3 linked regions of the Arabidopsis thaliana genome follow. The protein of the gene in region 3 interacts with the protein of the main gene of each other region in a pairwise test. Each region holds a gene or a part of one and is shown on either strand. Other genes may lie near its edges.

Region 1 (4,495 bases), on a different chromosome or scaffold from region 3:
TGGCTTTTACTTCACTGACAAATAATTATGCTCCTATTTTATTATTCAGTGAATGGTACAGAAAACATTGGTATATAATTTTCATGAAGTAAACAAAACTATATTAGGCAAGAAAAAGTGGAGACAAAATGATGAAAAGGGAGAAGAAATGGTGTGTTAGTGAAAGATCTTAGTGCAATTCAAATTTCAGTCTCTTTTATGGGACCATAATACTCTCATTTCAAAATCAAACTTCATCACCTCCTTTCCTCAATTTCAGGGGTTAATTCTAGTGTTTTTTTCATTCACATGAATTTGGTTTAGCTTCTTTCGTTTATACCAAAGAAATCTAGTCAAATGTTACATACAATATATATTACAAATGAACATAAACGACAAACCATCATCACTCCAAGCACTAGATAAAAAAGAGTAAGAGAATAGGCTAGAGACTAATTAAACATCCAAATCTAACCCCAAACAATTCAATTCTAAAAGCTAACTCAAAATACTAGATTAACTTATCGGACCAAGTAGTCAACGCCAAGAGGAAACGGTGAGGAGAGGCACATTGTTCCAAGCCAAGGAGATGAAACCTGGCTCCGATTCAACAAGTGAATACAATGTACTATAATTGTAGTTCCATAGTAGCAGCTTCGCTTGGCTAACCGCGTAATTACTCGGTTTAACCGGCTCAAATCCAGCTTTCTCCATCAACACTCTCCATTGTTCTTTCTCCTCCATTAACCCAAACCGGGTTCCCGGTTTATTATTATCATCATCTGATCGGACCAAATCCATAATCCTCCTACCGAACAACACTCTCTCCACTCTCAGCCTTTCTTTCGAATCTCGATCCAAATTCGGTTCAAGCGATTCAAAAACCGCGGAATAAAACCGGAGAGAGTTCTTAACCCGGTTAGCAAATTCAACCCGGTTTAAACTGACTTCGTATTCTCCAAGCGTCACAATCCTCGGGTTTAACGATCTAGCTAACCGGAGCGCCGTACCAACAGTCGTCGCTGTTTCATCTAGAAGCTTATAAAGCTCAAGCATAAAATTCACAACCAAAACCTCATCCGGGTCAACCCGAAAACTTGACCCGTTTAGTAATTGAATCGGAGTCAGAACCGGATAAAACTCGAAATTGAGATCCAAAATCGCCGCGAAATCACGGAGACGGTTTCCCGTAGCGATCAGAGACGGTCCCGGTGAGTCTCCTAGAGACGGAGCGGGTATACCCGAAATCCGGATCCGGGTGGGTTTACCAGAAGAACGGGTCGCTAAAGCTTGTAACAGAGCAGACCATTGAATACCTTGAAAAATCCCGAAATCGACTATGTGAATGTTGTTTGATTGATTCGTAGCTTCGAGAATTGCTTGATTCGCTGTTAAATGAGCGAACTTTGAATATGGACATGCGTCGTTTAAGGTTTTGTATGAGAGAATGAAATCTTCTAGGGATGACGACGACGATGACGACGGAGACTCTGTTTCTTTATGAGACAGAGCTTCTGCGAAGTAATACCCGACTCGTTGTATCGGGTCGCCTGATTCGGACACGGATTCTTTGATCCGAATTAGTGTGTCCGGTTTAGTTTCCGGTTTACGTGCATAATCGTGGATAGCTTTAAAAATCGGCTGGTTTAGATCAAAATCCGGCTGCGGCGGGGGAGGAGGAGGATGTTGTGGTGATGGCGGAGATGGAGACCATATAGCGGTGGAAGCTGGTGGCGGAGGGAGTTGTTGACTCGCTGAGTCATCTTTGTTGACTCGGTTGAGATATGAAGGAGCACTGAGTCGACTCGGGAATGAGACGAATGGATCATGGCCGTAGATTGGGAAGTCTGGATTGGTTTGTGACGCATCTCCACCGTTGATCAAACTCTCCATCCACTCGTCGGAGTCAAACTCCTCGGAAGCGACGGCTGCGTTTTGATGATGCTCCAGGTGTGGAAAGTGAAAACCTGGGTCGTTGGTTACTTGAAACGGGTCGGAGAAACCCGAACCGGGAAGAGTAAACCCGAAGGATGGATTGGGCCAGGGGTTGGGTTCTTGTTCTTGTTCTTCTTGTTGTTGATGTTGTGATTGTTGTTGCTGCTTCTGTTTGATGAGTTGTTGTGCTATAGCCATTAAGTTTCCGCTGTCGGTGCACATATACGCCATTCTCCGACTCACTTTCGCCGGCGATGAAGGCGTTTTTTTGTCTGTTATTTGGTGGTGATTGAGTAAGGCCCAGAGAGAGAGAGGGATATGAATGAAACCGGAGAGATTTTAGTAGGAAGAAAAAAGTAAGAAAGTGAGTATTTTCATTTTGATTTATCATTTTCTTTTTTTTTGTCATCCGATTTATCATTTTCGAGTACTGTATTTTTAATCAATTACCACTTTAGTTTAAAAGTACAAAATTACGTTATTAACTGCAAGAAATGAAGAAACTATAAAACCAACAACAACAACAAAAAATGAAGAAACTAACTAACATAGTTTACTAAAAAACTCAGTTTTGTATTTAATTATTTTCAAGAATTTAATAATAGAAATGTAATTTATCAAAATATCAATTGAATAATTTCTATATCTCATGAATTTGTAGTTTCGTATAATCTTACAAATTTATTCAGAAACCTTTTGACCAAAAAATAAAAAATACATAGGTTTTTTTTTGTTAAATAATTATTACCACTCTGTTAATATGGGTAAAAAAAAGAGTTGACGTTATGAAAAAAAAGAGAGAGTAAAACGATATCTCACTTATGGGACCCACAGACACGATGACGTCATGTATCGGCAGTTACGTATCGAAGAGTGTGACCTCATCTCCACCGTCTAGAATCAGATCAATGGCTTTGGCTGAAATGGTGAATGTGACACGTCGACAACTGTCTTCTGCTACTTGTCACCTGCATGTCGCCTGCAACTTTTCTGTCTTTTTTCATTTTAACTAACAGTATTATAAAGGTAAAAAGATTGATGTAAGAAAAGTAAAAAGAATTAGGTTATTATCTTCTGCTTTCAAGCCGCAAAGGTCAAGGTTTTTCAAAGCTGTTTCTTATCAACTAAAAGGGTCGTTAAATTGGACTTTGGTTAACAAATTTCAGTGACTTCATTGGTTTAGTTTCAGTTACTTTTGTAAAAAAACCTTTCGACAAGTTAAGCTAACATCTTGAATATGACTTGAGCAAGCAAAAATTAAACAATAGACATGTTTTATTTGTATACGCATGTCTTTTTTATCTCAACGTTAGTGTTGTGGAGGACGGCTTGTGGGTCCGTAAGTAGGCCCATATACAATGGAGCAAAAGCGATTTGTGGCGGGCTCTACTAGTATCTGTTGTTGGTGGACGAACTTTGACGAAGAAAATGTAGTAGCCATTAGCCAAAAGCTAAAAATTACACAAAAATACCAAAAAAAAAACACAAGCAAAGAAGAAACAAGAAAAGAGTCCAAAGAGGATTATAGAATTTAAAAGTCTTTCAATAACAAACCAAGTTTTATGAATTATCATTCATACACGACGCATAGTTCGAGAATTTGCTTATTTGAGGTTTGAGTGTGGAAGCTCTTTGTGACTTTGCAATTTCTAAAAACCTAAAGCGAATGAAATAGAAAAGAGCAATAGCGAACAAAAAGCACATGGGAACGACACTTGACTCTTTGAGACATCACTCTTTTCATTTCATCGTTGTATCCGCGTCAAAAGGCCTACTTCTCCACTACTTATAACTTAAATATCTAAATTACATTACTAAACATGGTATATGGTCCCTGGCCCAAGTCTACTTTTGATTTTCACTTTTGACATTTTTTACTACAAAGTGCCATGGACTGTTCTAAATTGGTAATGATTTCAACAAGGAGAATGAAGAAGATGATATTTTTGAAAAGGACTTGTCTTTGAAAATGGCAATCCCACTTTAGTGTTTAACCATTGCACCTATCTGCAAGTGGACTTGGAGAAAATAGATAGAGAGAGAGAGAGAATGAGTGGTGTATGAAAAGGACATGAGTAAGAATGAAAGGGTTTGATTTGTCTTTTCTTTCTATCCAAGTCATCGGTGGGGTTTCTTATGTATGAACAAAGAGTGGCATTGAGTCATCCCCAAGAAAGTCTCTCTATATATTTACCATTTTTGTCACATTCTTTGCTTTTTTTTTTAAATACTAATTTTTAGTTTCAACTCTTACCAACTAAAATTTACCTATTTTTGTCTCCTCCTTAGCTTTTTACACTTATTTTCGTTTGAACCTTTAATTAACCAAAATATATTTACTATTTGAATCAGTTAAACAGAAATTATTAAGTCAGTAAGAAAAATATATATTTGGTGACGATTATCTCATACAAAACAGAAAGAGACTTTTCAAATGACAAGTGGCCTGTCCAAACACTAAACTTTTGTACCTTTTATTGACCAGCTAACTCACTTTCTCATCCAAATTTTAGTTAGTTAAAACAAAAAAATCTCAATGCTTTTCCTCGTTTTCTGAATATTATTCGGCTAACCAGAAAAG
Region 2 (4,495 bases), 1.2 Mb from region 3:
GATGAGTAAATACCTCAACATGTAAACGATCAACACAAGCAGAAGAAATCCATCCACCAACTTTCAAAGCAGCATCTTCCCCTTCAACAACCTGTTCCACCAATGCGAAACGAAAAAATCTGAGCTCTATTGAAAACATTCAACCTAGAAACTCGCAAAAGGAAATCAGTAATTGTATTGAAAAGATAAAAGGCGTACGACGATCAGATCCTTGAGATTACTACTCTCGAGAAGATCCAGAACGTAAGACAACACCGGACGATTCGCTACGGGAAGCAACGCCTTAGGAACTTCCTGAACAACAACAACAAATTAGCAATTCGTCGAAACTGTTATGCTGATGATGAGAGTGAAAGAGAGAGACGGACCTTGGCGACTAAGGGAACAAGATAACTAGAGAATCCGCCGGCTAGAATCACGACCTGGAAATCCATTGTCGCAGCTGAATTGACGAGAGAAGACGAAGAAGAGAGGTTTCTGCTTTCTGGGGTTTTGATTTTGAGAAACGGTAGACGAAGACGATATCAATTTAACCCGCTTGTTTCTTTCTTTTGGATCCGACGGGTCGTTCCATTAATCTTGGGTTATCTATCTCACTTAAATATTTTAATTAAAATTAAACATTAACAAAGATTAAACCATACTTTATGTATATGATTTTATAGTTTGTGTAAAGCTTGCTATCAAATTAGAAGAGATGAATGAAAAAAACGAAATTACATTAAAGAGAATGAGAGCAATCTCCTACATACACACTGCTTCTATAATATATAAGTGTGTCAATTCCTAAGTTGTTGTTTTCTTTCTCCTACCTTTAGTTTTAAGTCATTTCACCTAAACTGAAACTCTTTCACTCTTGGTCTATGCTTTCTTCATCATAATCTTCCTCGTCACTAGCACTAGCCTGTTGTTGATCATCAGGATCTATTTTCATTTCGTTAATCTCCAACGGGTAATCTGGACTTCTCTCTAGCTGTGTTTCCAGCCATGTAGCATTGTCTCCATTCTCATCTAATTCAACATTAAGATCGAAGTTCCTTACTTTTACCTCTGAGTTACTACTATGATGATTGTTGTGTGATGCAACTTTCTTCCAAGATGTATCGTCGTGAGAAAGGCTCCCGTTTTCGGGAGACGGGGTCCTGCTGCTTTCGGGAGAACCGTCTTCTAAATCTTCTTCAAATTTTAGAGACAGCCCACTTCCTGTTCTTCCACTACTTCGTCCGCGGCCTCTACCTCGCCTTCCTCTGCCACAGCTAGTATGTTTGACCTCATGCTGTAACAAGGCGAAACATATGCGTTAAGTAATATACAATTGTCTATTGGCAAAATAAGTCTGGCTAGTTACCATTTGAGTGGTCTTTATCATATCTTCATCGTTGCAACTACTTCCATCAACAACTTTCCTGAAAAGTCGAACAAACAAGTTGTTAGACACGATACCGATATCAAAATTAGGTAGATTGATTGCTGACATAGAATAGAACTATAGAAGAAGCGGGCCTAACCTTCTTTTGGTAGCTGATTGGTCTTCAGTGTCTGAGCCACCCAAATCAGGAACTTTAGCGACAGTGTCTCTTAGAAAATCAAAGACATTAGTCGCTTGCACACACTGCTTCCTGGAAAAAGAATAGAAAAGTATTGAAGAAGCAAGAAAACAATTGGTTTATATAAGCAAAATCCAAAGATGAGATTCACACTTACAAATGAAAGGCGTTGACAGTTTTAGCACCTCGGCTTAGAGTTACATCATACGTGTGATTACACAAGTCTTGTAAAAACAGCTCCAAAGCTTTAGCTGAAAAGTTAAATTCAAAACCAGAACAGATCAACTACATGTGACACAAGCTAACATATGAACAACGTTTGAGTAAGAAAATCAAAAACATCACATCACTTACAAACAAGAAGAGGGACTGCCATTGCTATTTTGCCAACTTCCTCATCAGTTTGCATAATCTTCTTAATCCTTGTCTGAAACAAATTTTGAACATATCAACACATACAAAATCAGACTCAGACACTAAGAAATTTCTTATGTAGATATCAACATCTTTGATTAGCCCTAAACAAGATATCTCTGCAGTTTATTTATATCTAGCCATGAACAAAAGAGCCCTCCAAGTCCAAAGATACATTCACAAAGATAAATTTAAAAACCTAATGAAGACAAGGACCATGGAACCCTGAAGAAGTAAACCTGAAATCATAGCAAAAGTTGAACCTAACTACTCTCACAACTCACAAAACAGAGTTCATGGTTATCTCCATAAGAAGAAGAACATAACAAACTATAAAACAGTGAAAAGTAATGTTTCATACCGCTGGAAAACGTGTCTGGAGCTTCTTCTTCATGCTATTGTTTTACAGAGGAATAGCAGCTTCCAAAGTCAAGGGGAAGAAGATAAAAACCCTAATTTTGAAATTTGTGTTGCTTGCTTCCGTTCTCTCTGGAATAAATAACAAGAGAAAATCAAATTAACAAATATATATATTGATTCCATCAAACACGACAAGAAAAGGAAAAAAAATAAATTCCTTTGGATCTGTTTTTTTCTAGTTAGAAATTGGTCTCTGTTTTCTGACCCGTCCTTGTCGGACCCAAATCATACGCAATTGGACCTTTTTTCTCCCACTCTTTTTTAATTTAATAATGAGATCTTATATTTTATTTTGCTTTTCATTTAACAAGTTTTATGTAACAATTATTTAATTTTGACAGCATGTATTATGTAACATTTAATTTGATTTATCACATGATATCTTAAGAAACCATAAACTCAAAATAAATAAAAATTATTTTTATAGAGTAAATTGTAAATTATACTTTATGTTTGCATTGCTATTCTTTTACTTGCATACAACTTTTGTATCATTGATGCAAATAGTATTTTCTAAAAGCAAAATAGAAGCATAAAATGCATAGATTTTAAATTTAATTGGGAAATAAAACTTCAAAAATAAGACAGCCACACATGTTAATCTGGAAGCTAAGCTCTCTCTAACACAATCTTTTGACTGTCGGAAGTCGCAGAAAACAAACCAGAAGACTGATCATAGGCTTTTCATAGCTAGTGTCTGATATCAGACAAACACAGACATGTCTGTGTCTCTAAGCTACACTTGTCTTCTTAGATTACCCACCTTTTCAGTTCCAACGAAACCCATTAGTTTCAATGGACCTCTCCCTTTTTATCTACCAAGATCTCATATTTCCTCATCTTGTTTTGGTTTCAAATCAAACCCATTCATAAGAACTCAGACCCCAAGATTCTTCAAGTGTTTGCCTCAGAGAGTGTCTGATGAACGCAGAGAAACACAAGTAACAACAGAAGAAGAAGAAGAAGATGAGGAAGAAAAGATTGTCGTATTTGAGAGGCTCTTCTCTAACCTGAATCAATCAACATTGAAGCGAGAATCCGGTACAAAGACTGTTACCATTTTGCATGTGAATACCCAAATTTGGATAGAAATTTTTGGTTTTTAAGTTTTAGAAATTTTCAGGAAGTTTGTCCAGTGCAATTTTCTTGGTTGCTGGCACTACCGTAAGTGTGTCTACTTTCTCATAACTCTGTCCATATTCTTGTTGAAACTATGCAAGGAATCAAGTTTGTTTTCTGCTAAACTTTTATCCTTTTCTTGATTAGGTAGGTGCAGGGATACTTGCGATTCCAGCTGTGACACAAGAATCAGGTTTTCTAGCCTCTGCAGTCGCCTGCATTCTCTGTTGGGCCTTCATGGTGATGATGGATGATTCTTCTTATCTCTGTTTTATGTTTCTTGCAAGTAACGGATTGGTCATTAGTAATACATGTTGGCTTCAGGTTGTGACAGGTTTGCTGGTTGCAGAAGTAAATGTCAACACCATGAGTGAACTAGGCTCTGGAGGCGTATCTCTTGTATATCCCCTCAAACCAATACTTCTATGAAAACTTAGCTTAGTTATTATGTCTTTAAACTCAGCTTTGACATGATATTTTGGCAGGTCTCAATGGCGAAGCGGACTCTTGGGTCTGTTGGAGTTCAAGTTGTTTCGTAATCATCCTCTCATTCTCACTTCAGAACTTGCTTTCCATCACTGTTTCTTTCATTTAAACTTGAAACAAGCCTTTCTGTTGTGTAGTTGGTCTTATCTTCTCATACATTACACCCTTCTTGTGGCTTACATTGCTCGGTCATCAGGCATCCTTACCAACTTCCTCGGCATTCCGATGTATGAAACTCCAATTGATCCTCATTTACACTGACACTTTTGAGTGTTGTGCTTCTGTACTTATTCCCTAGAATGTTCTGTAGATGGGAGAGTGCAACTCTATTCTCACTGATCTTCGGAGGCCTTTGCTTCTTTGGAAGGTTAGCTCTCCATATTAAACTAATCACTGATGCCACAATTTAAATCAGAAACTGTATAAACACAAGGAGAACCAGAGTGGAATAGTGGTAGACCCGACAAGTTAATCATACCTTCCTCCATGTGGTTGCAGCCAGCGATTCA
Region 3 (4,495 bases):
GAACAAATCAGTTATTTAGTACGAACAGATTAAAATTTGAGACTGGGAAAACTAGAGTCTATTAAATAATTTCATCAGTTTATGTTTTTTCTACTAATGACAAAGACAAAACATACAAACCAAGTCAGTTTTCCGGTTATCAATTAACCGAAGTATTTCTTCTAACTGGTTACCGAAAAGAAATTCAATTTGGTTTGGTTTTGGTTCCTTCTTTATTTTCTAAAATCGGTTCGTAATCATTTGCGAAACCCGATCAAATTTTGGTAAAAAACGGTCTAATAATGGTATAATCCGTTCTTTAAGAAACAAATAACTATCTGAGAAACCAATGTCGAACCGAACCGAAATTCGCAGGTTACTGAAGGCAAATTGAAAGTACGCCAATCGGTTCAGCCTAGAGAACCAAAACCTAGCCGAAAACCAAAAATCTATGTTTGGCTCAGTACAGTATTCTCGGTTCGCGTCAGAATCACAGGGCAAATGTTAACAACACTAAACAATGATTGCATTGTGTTTATGGAAAAACAATTACACCAATCACCAAATTTATCCAATCTACAAACATTAAGATTCCTGTAAGTCATCGAATCAGATGCTTTGTGTAGACCTGACCCACCATGCTTAGTCAAGACACAAGTAAACACAAAACAAGGAATGCTTACTAATTACATCTGAATCACAAGTGTTTTTAGATCGTGAAACACTAACTAACATATATCATACTAAGAGCATATAAACAGAGAACATACGCATTTGCAACTTACAAGGGAATGTTAAAAGGATGTTGTTTTTTCTTGCCTAACACTTACCCTTACGGTTTCAGTTAGCTTTGCGGACTTCTCTGGTCAGTTTCTGGATGTTCAGGTTGAGGAACCGAAACACCTCCATTCATTCTTGCACGTGCTTCTGCAAACATACGTTGTTGCTCAGCTGCTGCTTCCTCCTCAGTCATTTGAGCTCCAGGGTTCCATTTCACGCTCCTCTGTGTGTCCTGCTATAGAGTCACAAATGTAGGAAACGGTTAACATTAATCGTTTTTTCGTCTCCTCGTTATCAAGAGTAGGAGAAGAAAGTAGAGAATCATTACCATTGTTTCATACTTATGTTGCTCATACGCAGCATAGACTTCTTCAATGTATTCTCCAAAACCAAGAACCTGTAATGCCTTGAGAACATGCTCAGGAGCAATCGTCCGTTTATCCTCTTTGTTACAAACATCATTAGATTCTGAAGATACAAGATTTATAAACTCTGCAAAAAATGTTTTAAACCACAGTAAGAAAACCAAGAACTCTCACATATATAGATGAACTCAGAGAGAAACTATATGATCTTACCTACACAACATTCAATGAGAAGATCTTGAGCATCTCTTGCAACACGAACATCTGGTGGTAACATCTCCTTTATAATTTTAGTCATCGTAGCTAAAACAATAGAGAACAACAAAACATATTCTTAGCAAGATAATAAAAAAATGAAGTTTATGATGCTCATGAATCCTATAACCTTCAAGCAGAGTTATATATAGCTAGGTTTACAAATCCTCCTATTTAATGATCAATGAGCAATAACACTAACCTTTTGGAAGAGAAGCGTCTTCCTTGGATTTGCCGACTATATCCATTGGATCCATAGTTTAATCTACAGAATTCATCAGGTTAAAGGTGCTTGTACACGAAGATCTGCATAAAGAGCAAATCAAGGGGAGATCGGAAAAAAACGAGAAGATAGAGATAATCGACTCACCGTAACTGAGTCAACACGAACCAAATCGGAAAGTAGACGAGTCGCGGTGAGATCTGGCGCCGGGAAATCGATCGGATTGTACGGAATATAATCGGAGGGATTTTCTCTCTCCTTCGTCTTCTCTAGCAGAGTCGTTTAGGGCAAACGGAAGAAGCAAAGCGCGTGAATCACACTTTCTTTTACAACGCTTAGAGACGGCGCGTGAAGATAACTTTAACTTCCTTATAGCAATTGGATTTTAAAACAAAACTAATGGGCCGAAAAGAGACCCGAACCAGGCCCAGATATCTCCTCCATAATTCTCTGATTCTGCTTCTTCTTCTTCTCTCTGGGACTCGTTCAGAATCTCGAATTGCTGCTGCTCCTCTCGGTCTCGGTGGTGAAGACAATGGGGTCAGACGAGGAAGATTTCGTGTTTCATGGAACGCCAATAGAGCGCGAAGAAGAAATCGCAAGCCGGAAGAAGAAAGCAGTCGCTGGGGCTTCTGGCAATCTTAGAACTCTCCCTGCTTGGAAGCAAGAGGTGAGTTTTTCTTTGATCTTCTAGTTCGTCTATTTAGTTGCAGATGATTAGATAATTTGAGCTTCGAGAGACTCGCTTTGGCCATGAACATGGGAGTTTTTTCGTTGTGCTTGTTTTCGTGATTCTAACGTATTGTAGAGAGCTTAATAGGTTTTATGTCGAGTAAGGTAAGGGATAACTTTGAGGCATTCCCGTTTCAGCTTAATCAGCTTGAAAATTTGTGAGTATCCCGGAATGAAATTAACCTTAAGCAAGAAAATCGAAGTGAATGTCTCTACTGGAGCTGATTTAATACTCAAAATCATGCTAGACAGTTAGATTCTGAGTTTTTGTTATTTGCTGTGTTTGTTTTTGCTTATTAATGTATCTATGGATAGTTATTAGATTGATTATCTGCATTTAGGTGTTTGCCTTGTAGGCATTTTGAAATATGTATTTATGTATGTGGCATCTTCCTTGGTCTCTAATTGCAAACTAATTGAAGCAATCTGTGATGAAAATTTGTGTCCTTACTAATGGATGCATGATATTGCAAGAATTCGTTGTCCAGCTTTCCACTATGAGTTTTTACTGGAAATAAAGTCTATCTGTATATAGTTGTACTATTATGTGGAAAGTTGCTAACATCTCGAGTTTTACCATACTCAGGTGACTGATGAAGAAGGCCGTAGAAGGTTCCATGGAGCATTTACTGGTGGATATTCTGCTGGGTATTACAATACAGTTGGATCAAAAGAGGGTAAAGTTTACATTACCTGATTTTCAAAGGCTTTTTTATCTGTGCTATGCTGTTTACAATCTAAATCGTACTTCAGGCTGGGCTCCACAGTCATTTACATCATCAAGGCAGAACAGAGCTGGAGCGAGAAAGCAAAGTATTTCAGACTTTCTAGATGAAGATGAAAAGGCGGTATGTTTCATCTTTTTCTCCTTGTTAGATCTGTTAAAGCTTTATTTCGAGTTATTTTAAGCTTGTCAAAGTTTGATTACCGCATATTGCATGATTCTTCTGTTACTTTTATCAATGGTAAAATGGAGTGTGGATTTGGGAATTATATTTTGCTCTGTGGAAGATGTGCACCATATTTAACGATGTTACACCATTCTAAATCCTTTTCCATTTTAGGATATGGAGGGCAAATCACTGTCTGCGAGCTCACAATTTGACACATTTGGGTTTACGGCAGCCGAACATTCCCGCAAGCATGCTGAGAAAGAACAGCATGAGAGGTCTGTGTACTTATCTGTAGTCTGTTTTTTATAAGAAGTTGCTATCTATATATTTGTAACATATTGTTTCTGTATCACAGGCCATCAGCCATTCCTGGCCCTGTTCCTGACGAACTTGTTGCTCCAGTTTCAGAGTCAATTGGTTAGTTTCAATAAGCCTCTTTAATATTTTGCAAAAGTTCCTTTTCTTTCGTTTTCTTTATTTTCGAATGCATCAAGTGGAGAAATCCTGATCTCACATTTATGCTTCTTTATATTTTTCAGGGGTCAAACTTTTGCTAAAGATGGGATGGCGGCGTGGTCATTCAATAAAGGAAGTGCGTGCCAGTTCAGGTTTGAACTTGTTTAACATGCACTAATCCATAATCTTCTTTTGTGCACCAAGAAAAGCCGTCAATACTTTTTCTATTTTGGAAATTCACAGCAAGCTCTTTATTTCGTCTCTCTCTCTCTCTCTTTTATACCTTGTTGGTGCAGATGCTCGTAGAGAAGCTAGAAAAGCATTCTTAGCCTTCTATACTGATGAGAATACAAAGGAAACGCCCGACTCGCTTGTTTCTGAGACTGAAGTGGAAACTTCTCTGGGTGAAGATATTAAAATTTCTGAAAGCACTCCTGTGAGTCAATTTTCCTGTTTCTCTTTTCAAACGAGCTATATGTTGTTGATTGTAATCGCTACTGGTGTGATACTTCTATTAGTCATACTTTTCTTGAACTTCTCTTCTACTTTTTATTAACGTCGGACTGTGAATACTGCTTCTAATCTGCTGCTGAGCTTCTTCAGATATTACCCTTAGTTACATTGATTTTGATGATATCCTTTGTTCCCCCTTTATCGATTGCAGGTATATGTTCTGAATCCAAAGCAAGATCTGCATGGATTAGGATATGATCCTTTTAAGCATGCTCCTGAATTTAGAGGTACCTAGTTTGGACTTTTTATGATGTTTCTGCTGACAGGGCATTCTTGGTCATTGACTTGCTTCACATTAT

Evidence for each region.
Region 1: the proteins of NF-YB13 (region 3) and AT3G50650 interact in a two-hybrid assay, tested with the Arabidopsis thaliana proteins (one large-scale study listed by BioGRID).
Region 2: the proteins of NF-YB13 (region 3) and AT5G19490 interact in a two-hybrid assay, tested with the Arabidopsis thaliana proteins (one large-scale study listed by BioGRID).

Annotation. Positions count from the first base shown.
Region 1 is NC_003074.8:18,805,956-18,810,450, forward strand, and holds AT3G50650 (GRAS family transcription factor), read right to left. Parts: upstream 2,289-4,495; 5' UTR 2,146-2,288; coding exon 517-2,145; 3' UTR 184-516; downstream 1-183. UniProt on the Arabidopsis thaliana protein: Probable transcription factor involved in plant development. Involved in environmental abiotic stress resistance. May increase the expression of stress-responsive genes. Binds DNA in vitro.
Region 2 is NC_003076.8:6,575,919-6,580,413, forward strand, and holds AT5G19490 (Histone superfamily protein), read right to left. Parts: upstream 2,591-4,495; 5' UTR 2,356-2,590; coding exon 2,323-2,355; intron 1,975-2,322; coding exon 1,902-1,974; intron 1,799-1,901; coding exon 1,705-1,798; intron 1,620-1,704; coding exon 1,509-1,619; intron 1,407-1,508; coding exon 1,349-1,406; intron 1,277-1,348; coding exon 851-1,276; 3' UTR 592-850; downstream 1-591. Other genes in the region: AT5G19485 (transferases/nucleotidyltransferase), read right to left, coding at 14-91, 199-294, 369-434; AT5G19500 (Tryptophan/tyrosine permease), read left to right, coding at 3,101-3,422, 3,505-3,545, 3,648-3,740, 3,825-3,899, 3,986-4,035, 4,124-4,213, 4,297-4,353, 4,485-4,495.
Region 3 is NC_003076.8:7,746,532-7,751,026, reverse strand, and holds NF-YB13 (nuclear factor Y, subunit B13), read right to left. Parts: upstream 1,998-4,495; 5' UTR 1,750-1,997; intron 1,686-1,749; exon of another isoform or gene 1,645-1,685; 5' UTR 1,637-1,644; coding exon 1,582-1,636; intron 1,428-1,581; coding exon 1,338-1,427; intron 1,252-1,337; coding exon 1,088-1,251; intron 995-1,087; coding exon 824-994; 3' UTR 415-823; downstream 1-414. Other genes in the region: TGH (SWAP (Suppressor-of-White-APricot)/surp domain-containing protein), read left to right, coding at 2,138-2,272, 2,921-3,011, 3,088-3,182, 3,399-3,502, 3,583-3,644, 3,767-3,835, 3,980-4,119, 4,348-4,423.